2 linked regions of the Rattus norvegicus genome follow. The protein of the gene in region 2 interacts with the protein of the main gene of each other region in a biochemical or structural test. Links are inferred from orthologs where the notes say so. Each region holds a gene or a part of one and is shown on either strand. Other genes may lie near its edges. The genes, in order: Jam3 and Tjp1.

The links.
Region 1: the proteins of Tjp1 (region 2) and Jam3 form a complex in vitro, tested with the Homo sapiens proteins (2 studies listed by BioGRID and IntAct, with this or other methods). The link is inferred for Rattus norvegicus from reciprocal best matches to the Homo sapiens genes TJP1 and JAM3.

Annotation. Positions count from the first base shown.
Region 1 is NC_086026.1:33,825,361-33,829,777, reverse strand, and holds the start of Jam3 (junctional adhesion molecule C precursor), read left to right. Parts: upstream 1-1,326; 5' UTR 1,327-1,343; coding exon 1,344-1,419; intron 1,420-4,417. UniProt on the Homo sapiens protein: Junctional adhesion protein that mediates heterotypic cell-cell interactions with its cognate receptor JAM2 to regulate different cellular processes. Plays a role in homing and mobilization of hematopoietic stem and progenitor cells within the bone marrow.
Region 2 is NC_086019.1:128,322,547-128,327,023, forward strand, and holds the start of Tjp1 (tight junction protein ZO-1), read right to left. Parts: upstream 2,815-4,477; 5' UTR 2,813-2,814; coding exon of another isoform or gene 2,804-2,812; coding exon 2,756-2,803; intron 1-2,755. UniProt on the Homo sapiens protein: TJP1, TJP2, and TJP3 are closely related scaffolding proteins that link tight junction (TJ) transmembrane proteins such as claudins, junctional adhesion molecules, and occludin to the actin cytoskeleton.

The sequences.
Region 1 (4,417 bases), on a different chromosome or scaffold from region 2:
CAGAGGACCCAATTTCAGTTCTCACCACCCACACCAGGCATACTATTTGTTAACTCTGTTCCTCTGGCCTCTCTGGGCACCTACAATTATTTTCACACACTCACATGCAGATATACACACATACATATAATTAAAATTATAAAAAAAAATCCAGACATGGTGGCGCTTACTTCTAATACTAGCACTTCGAGGCAGAGGCAGTTGGACTTATGAGAATTTGAAACTAGCCTGGTCTATTTAGCCTTCAAGTTCCAGGGTGGCCAGGGCTACATAAATAATACTCTGTCAAAAACAAAACAAAACAAAACAAAAAACAACAAAAAAATGGGAGACTGGGGAGATGGCTCAGCGGTTAAGAGCACTGACTGCTTTTCCAGAGGTCCTGAGTTCAATTCCCAGCAACCACATGGTGGCTCACAACCATCTGTAATGAGATCTGATGTCCTCTTCTGGTGTGTCTGAGGACAGCTACAGTGTACTTATATAATACATTTTCAGAAAAAAATTAAAAAAACGGGTAAAAAACCCTCAAGTGACAAGAATTACACTTGTACTGTGTAGGACACACTATTGGGGACACCATTAGGCTTCAGGTCTACCAGAGAAATGAATCATACTTATATAGCATGTTATTATATTTATTTAGTGGGTATATCTTGCTAATGTTTATTCAGATTTCAGCATTTTCTCCTTTCATTACATATGGTATCAGGGGCCCTACAGGTGTGAAAATACTACTGTTTTAAAAAAAAACTATATGGCCATATCTTTATTTGTAAAATAATTTCTCTAATAAAAAATGGTTTATTTTATTTCATGTGCATGAGTGTTTTGCCTGCATGTATGTATGCACACCACAGACACGTTTAGTGCCGTCAGAGGTCAGAAGAGGGTGTCAGATTGCTTGGAACTGGAGTTAAAGATGGTGTGAACCACAATATGGGTGCTGGGAATGGAATCCGGGCCGTTGAAGAGCAACAGGTGCTCTTCTCTGCTGAGCCATCTCTCCAGCCCCATCATGCCTAAATTTTAATGGAGTAATCCTTCTTAGATCTGTAGCGATAATCTACAGTTTCATAAATCTACCCCGCTTCCTTCCCAGACACGCTTTTTAATTCTCCTCCGGCTAAGTTCATTGACAGAGGTAGCACCTGGAAGCGCTGAGCATCGTTGCATCCATAGCAACCAGACTGGAGCTTTCTCGGTCACTATGGTGCCGGCTAGGCCGGGCCGCGTGGTCGCTATGGAAACTGGAGGCGGGTCGCAGGGTCTAAGCAGTGTGAGCGCATGCGCACGAGGCCAGTTCTACGCTCCAAGCCTGAGCCCCTCACATTCCCCTCGACATGGCGCTGAGCCGGCGGCTGCGACTTCGCCTGTGCGCGCGGCTACCCGACTTCTTCCTGCTGCTGCTCTTCAGGGGTGAGTTGACGCTTCAGTGCGGCTGGGAAGTGTGGTCTGTGACGATGGGGACAGAGCGACCCGGGCCGCGGTGGAATAGCGGTTTCTGCGCCCAGGACTCCAGGTCCGGCCGAGGAGCTGAGGGGTGGCCTCTGCCGGAGCGTGGCGGGCGCGGCTCAGCGGGCTGTCGGGTCCGGTCTCAGGCTGACCCGCGTGGATGCGACTGGTCCCGGACAGGGACACGGCCCTCTAGAAGGACCGTGGCAGCTGCCTCACGGGCTCTAAAACTTGCTGGAGAAAACACCCCATCAGTATTGTGGTACCCAGAAGTCGTGGACGACGAGCAGCTAGGGAAGCTCCAGAGGCCTGTCCTCCCGGGAGCTGCTGGGGTCAACAAAGAAGCTGAACTGGGCAAGGCCCGCCATCCTTGTGCGGAGATGGGGGCTGCATAGGGATAAGCACCTTTGTTGCAGCGTGGTGGAGACCCTGACTCCCAAGTAGCACCAGGGTCATTTTGATCCCAACACCCTGCTAAACTTGAAAGTTCTGCTCATTTCTTTCTAGTGGAATTCCTGGGAGACACTATTTCCCTGGTCTGTGGGGCAAAAGCACTGTAAAGTTTACTTTGCAGTTAACTTTCCATAAATACCACAGGGCACTTTGAAGCTATTATCTCAGTTCTTAAAACAGCTCAGTGAAGTGGGTTCACAAACTTGGTTTGTGAACCCAATTTTCAGAGGCTAATAGTCTTCTTAAAAATTTTTTTTTTTAATTTCAAAACTGAGGGGCCACACAAGTAGTGCCAAACTTAAGGTTGCATAAGACTCCACTCCTTACTCAGAAGGTAACCCAACCCGGACCACTCCTCAACCCTTGGCTTGTTCCTTGGATTTGTTGCCGCCCACGATGCTCTCCAAGATATACAAATTAATACACCAAAGCCCTGTTGGGAGGCGGGGTGGTCAGGCAAGAAAACAAAGCGGTTTTGTGTTTGATGCTTATTCTAGTGGGGTGCGCAGAGTGGTGGTGGAAAACAGGGGTTCTGGTGCTGAAATATTGGAAACAGGCTTCTGTAGTAAGGATGACCCTTAGCCCGTATTTGTGACCATATATTTTGCTTGATTTAGAAAATTTAAAACCAAATGCAGTTGGGAGATAGAGCTGAGCAGAGGCTAGCCAGGAGAGAGGAGTGTCAGGAATGTCCTGCTCCCACAGTGTCCGTCACACTGACATGTCCTGACACGTCCTATTCACAGACCAGAACAACTCCCTATTGTTGAAGAGATTTGCTAACATGAAAATCTGCAGCTTTTATTGGAGAAACAGTTTGCAGTTGACTTCAGGGATACATTCCTGCTTGGTGATTTGTTAGTAAAAAGCAGAAACTGCTAAGGGCTCATTGCGGATGTTACCCCTCAGGTGGGGCTAATTTGGTGGGTTTCTTGGTATTGAGGGAAAGGAAAGAGTTTCCTATTATATAGCTTTTAGCTTACGTATACCTGAACGCTGTAGGTACTCTTGGGACTGGAGAGAGAGCTCAGTGGTTACAGAGGGGTAGGCCGGCAGAGGACCCAAGTTCTGTTCATAGCACCCAAGTTGGTGACTCAAACAGCAAGGGGGTCCAGCCTCAGAGGATCTGACAAGCTTTTCTGAGCTCTGTAGGCACTCACATTCATACATGTATATGGTCCCTTCACACATAAGTAAAAGTAAAACCTTTAAAAACATGTCATCTTCATAGGGGACAGCTGTGCCTTTTTAATTTTTAGGATTATGCTTTTCACTTGGTATCATTACCGTTTCCGTTTAAAATTGCCAGCTCCTGCCTGCTGTGACGAGTGCTTGCAATCCCAATGCCGTGAAGGCCGAGGCAGGAGGATCACTGTGAGCTTTTTTATTCTGGGATATACAGTGAGTTCTAGGTTACCCTGGGGGCAGAGCGAGACCACAAAAAATTTACAAGTTCCAAGTTGGATGTGGTGGCACATGCCTGTAATCCCAGGATTTGAGGGGCAGAGAGAGGCAGGAGGACCACTGCCAGTTCTTCAAGGCCAGCCTAGACAGAGACCATATTTCAAAAATTAAAAAGAAAAAAAAAGGTAATTTCAAACATAGTAAACATTCCATGTAATTGCTTTTTGCTGGGCTGTATTAGGACAACTTAGTGTGAATTATTTCATTTTGATAAGACTGTGTTACTGGTTCTCTTGTTCTGTGTATGAAGAAACAAGCATGCAGAGGTAAACTTAGAAGTCTCTAGTCTGTGCCAGTTCGGTCTTTGGCCGCTTGTTTATTGTATTCGACAGTGGCAATTCTTATTATGGATCAGTTTAGGGAAATTATCACGCGTTCAAAGACGGACTGTTTGTATATGTATAATATTCCTTTGTGAGATCGGTGACTGGCATGATTCAGCCTTACAGATGATATGCCTCCTCCCCCTTTTGAGTGCTTATGTAGCAAGTCAGTAACTTTCCAGAATTTTTGGTGTGCCAGAGAGAAGACTTTATTTAGAACTGGAACAACAGTTTGTACTCTTGAAGACAGTTTGCGAGATGAAACGTACAGGAATTCCGGACCAACTATTCCAATTCTTCCGTTTACTTGGACTCCTGAACCATGGTTTAGAGTGGCCTACATGGATCGATTGATTGCTTGATTGAACTCAGGGCCCTGAACAGATAGCCTCTACCCTTTTACGGCATTTTAATTCCTTTTGATTACTTGATTGTCACAGTCATTGGCAGGGTCGTACCTGTACTTTTAAGAGAAAGAAAGGACAGCTGATCCCAAAACTTGGATCTGCTTCTCATCTTCAAATGACTTGTCTGTGGTCACAATGCAGGCTGAGGAGACCGAATGGGTGTCTGCTAGAGATCTTAGTCATTAAGTAATTGCAGTATTCACAGTGCTCCATCTCCTATGCTCTGTGGAAGGCGCTCTCAGGGCAGCCCCCAAGGAATAGCCCTATGTCCACTTTCTGAAAAGCGGCAGATGCACAAGCATGCTTTCTGATTGT
Region 2 (4,477 bases):
AAAGGATACAGGCTAGCATAGTAGGAATTGCATGGTGATCGGAGTATAATGCAGCCAGTAGTCTTTTCAGTCAGGAAGTGGAGAGAGACCATGTACTCCACAAGACTATAGAAATAATACTATCCATGGGGAGGGTCTTCTCTCCTCAGTTAAACCTATCCACAGATATGCCTCATATTGTCTCTTAGATGATTCCAAATCCAGACAACTCAGCAATAAAAGACTGATCATTACAAGGTGCTCAGCATTAATATACAGAGAAATACAAACTAAAGGAGTCAAAATGAGATACTACTAGACATCTATTAGAATAGCTAAACTCAACAATTAAAACCAATAATATCAAGAATTGTGGAGAAGACTGACTCATACATTGCTGGTGAGAAGGCATATCCAGTCAGCCATGCCCTATACAATTAACAACTAGCATAAAACCCACTGTCATTCTGTTCCTATTTAACCATGAAAAGTTATGTTCATACAAAACTATATACTAACGTGGATTTATTCATACTCAACAAAAACTGTAAACAACCTAAATGTACCATGAATTAACTATTATACACTCATACAGTGGAGTGGAATTTAGCAATAAGCAGTAATTAGATATCAATATAAACAACATTATAGAGAAGTCTCAAATGCATTTATCTAAGCATATGAAGTCAGTCTCAAAAAGCTAAGTATTACACAAATCCATTTATAAGACAGTCCAGAAAAGGTCAAAGTTTAAAACGAGAGATCAGTGGCTCAATAAGGGGGCAGAATTGACCACAAAGAGATTTGAAGGAAAGTTTTAAGGTTATAGAGTAATTCTGCATTTTTTTAAAGATTTATTCATTTATTATATATAAGTACACTGTAGCTGTCTTCAGATACACCAGAGGAGGGAGTCGGATCTCTTTACAGATGGTTGTGAGCCACCATGTGGTTGCTGGGAATTGAACTCATGACCTCTGGAAGAGCAGTCGGGTGCTCTCAACCACTGAGCCATCTCTCCAGCCTGTAATTCTACATTTTAAGTGGGATATTAGTTATGTAACTATGTCAAAACTGAGAACTGTATACTAGATGAATATGAATTTACTGTTACATAAATTATACCAATAAAAATTATACTTCTCAATATCAAAAAAGATAACGGTATTAAGAAAAATAAACGTAATACATAAAATGCTACCAACATGATAGTCAAGCAATCTAAAACTATTTTATGTCTCATAGAGACCTGATGCAGACGCTACAAGCACAATGTAAGTATTAAGCACAATGAAACAACTGAAAGTTATTTCAGCTTTACGAATTAAAAGTTAAGATACATATTATTGAAATGATTTTTCTTTAGTGAGACAGAAAAACTGCATGAAAACTTCATTTGAATAATTAACTATCACAATGTATAGATTCAAATCCTCATGAAATAATCAGGAGTAAGTGTTCAGGAACATAATTTTCCCACATCCACTTGTCAATTGCTCAGAAATAACCGTATGTGAGGCATACACCATTTAAGTAGGAGAGCCATCAGTAGTCAGCTTTGCTTAACAGAAGAAAAAAGGCAAATTTAAGGAGCCATACTTAGCAGATAAAGCATGACTTGGTGTCATTAGCCCAATAGTATTTTAATTAATTTTATTTTTTTGAGACAAGGTTTTCTACATAGCCCTGGCCATCTTGCAACCTGTTCTGTAAAACAGGCTGAGCTGTGCTACAGCACACACAGCTAATGCCTTACGGCTTTTGTTTGTGTGTGTGTGAGGGTTCCTGCAAAGGCTAGAAGAGATTATCAGATCCTTTGGAGATGGAGTTACATACAGACAGTTGTGAGCAACCAAACATGGTACCATGAACTAAACTTGAGTCTTTTTGAAGAACAGGCACTATTTCCTACTGAGCCTTGTCTCCAGCTCCTAGCCTAACTTTAAATACATAAACACTATGGTTTATAACACAGGTTGGGTTTCTTCCCCATTTCTTCCCCAGAAAAGCAAAAGACCAGTATGATTTCAAAGCTCTTATTTCCACTAGGTTTATTAATTATCTGACCTGACTGTCTGCCATGTTTATGTTGTACATGCTTCAAATGAACAGCTGTCTTTCAAGAATGTGCCCTTGGGGTTGGGGATTTAGCTCAGTGGTAGAGCGCTTGCCTGGCAGACGTAAGGCCCTGGGTTCGGTCCCCAGCTCCGAAAAAAAGGGAAAAAAAAAAGAATGTGCCCTCTTCCCAATATACATACCAACCTGCTAAGTAGCTAAGGATAATTTCGAACCTCTGACTGCCAGGTTTTCACAGATGAGAGTGTCATGTGATTCTGGGGCTAGAAGGGGGTTTCCTGCATGCTACAACCAAGCATTCCATCAACTGAGCCATGTCCTAAGCCCTCTTTCAAGATTTTAGTAGGAATATAACTTATTATTAAGCCCCAAGCATACAAATATGCATATACAATCAGTTTATAATTTAATATATAATCTTTTATCTGATCATTCAAAATTCTAAGCAAAAGAACCACTTAATTTTCAGAGATTAAAAATAACAACTATACAAGAAATAACCAAAGGATATGTGAAAAAGTAATCACGTTCACTTCTGACCTTAATGAAGAATTTATTATAAATCTAATTTTAAACAAACGAATATAGAAAAAAATTCCCCTTTCTTTTGGCTTCCTGACATCTGGCTTTCCTCTATTGTTTTCAAAGCTGCCAGTATCCTGAATTATAACCCAGATTATTTACTGCCGCAGACACTCACCCTGTGAAGCGTCACTGTGTGCTGTTCCCATATAGCTGTTTCCTCCATTGCTGTGCTCTGATAAAGGAAAAGAAAACAAAGCGTTACCTTTAAAAGAAAAAAATAAGTTTTTAATAAAGTGAAAGAAGGCATTCTGGAAACAATTCAGTACAATAAAACACCAAGACTTACACTGCTAATATTAAAAATATTCTGGAAACCAGTTAATAACTTTGAAAGGGTTGTTTGTTTTTAAGAAATAGGAAACCACACACACAGGAACTCCCTTTGTTTTAACTTAATTTGGACAGATGCCACTCTACACTTAACACAGCAGAAACAAGTTAAAGCTAGCAAATTCAGCAACTTTATGCTTAACATCAAACAGACAAGAATAAAAGTTGCAACAGTTTTAAATTATCCAAGTGGACATTTAAGAGCATTTTTCATGTTGCATTCAGCAAGAAAAGGTAAAATACCTCTGAACTCAGTATTTGTAAATACATGTTCCCGAAAAGGATTTAGACCTCTTATAGGTTTAAAGTCACAAGCAATACTAGTCTATTCAGTTTCAGTTTTATGTCAGAATTACTTCCTCTAACTTCACGTTCATACAGAAAAAGGCTTTTGTTACGCATATCATAAACATGCATCTAAAAAAATTAAAACAAAACTCTCAAGGCCCCAATCCCCCTAGAACCATAAACAATCAATGTTAAGTTTCAGTGTAGATCCTAGCCAGACCACGGGGTAGCTGAACTTTATCTCCTACCATTAATCTCTCATGGAAATAATAAGATGACCTGAAAGTTAAACATTACAAATTTAAAAACAAATTTCCTTTGTATTTGGGTAAATTGCTCTTGGTAGTTTAAAGTAACATAGTCTCTCTTAACATTACTTTTAATAAATGTATTATTATGCCTAATATGGATTTCTTTCTAAAATTTTTTCTTTCAGGGTGGTGAAGTGACTGTGGCATGGCGTATTCAGATCCTCCTTCATCACCTAGCACTGTAACTGTCTTTCATCAGTACACTCTGTCTCTGTTACATGGTTATCAGTAGCATCACAAGACTATGCACATCAAGGTGCCACAGGCCTATTTCTCTTTTCCCAGAGCAACTTTAATTGAAGATTAATGCCACTTTAGAAAATGAACTGCTATAAAGAAAGCCTGCTTCCCTAAATTCAAAGCAACTAGATTGACTTTCCTCCCAAATGAATAAGGGACGAGAGAGAAAGGACCTCTGTGTTCATTCCCATAGATAAAAACTGCCAACTCCACCAGCTTTTGTTTCAACCTTCCAATCATGAGCAGCAAAACTTTCTTTTAATGAGACTTGCCTGGAAATAAAACTTTTTTTTTTAACACAAACTAACCAGATTTTGAAACACAGAAAGACAGACAGACAGACAGACAGGCTTGGGGGGAGGAAGGGGAAGGGAGGGAGTGGGACGAAGGGAGGGAGGAAACTGCATAAAGCCTCCTCCGTCCATGTGCAACACTGACAGTGAGGGCAGATGCACTAAACATGCACAGTTCCATAACTGCCAGTCTGCAATGCCAGCTGACACTGACAATGGGAACTGCTTGCATAGCTCTAAACTGTTTCTTTCTGGATCCACTTTGTTAACTAGTAGCGATGCTTCACTGACTTCTCAATCCCTTCCCCATCAGTCCACACTGTAAGTGATCTGATAACTGGTACTTTACTTGGTTACTACCTATGAAAGCATGTG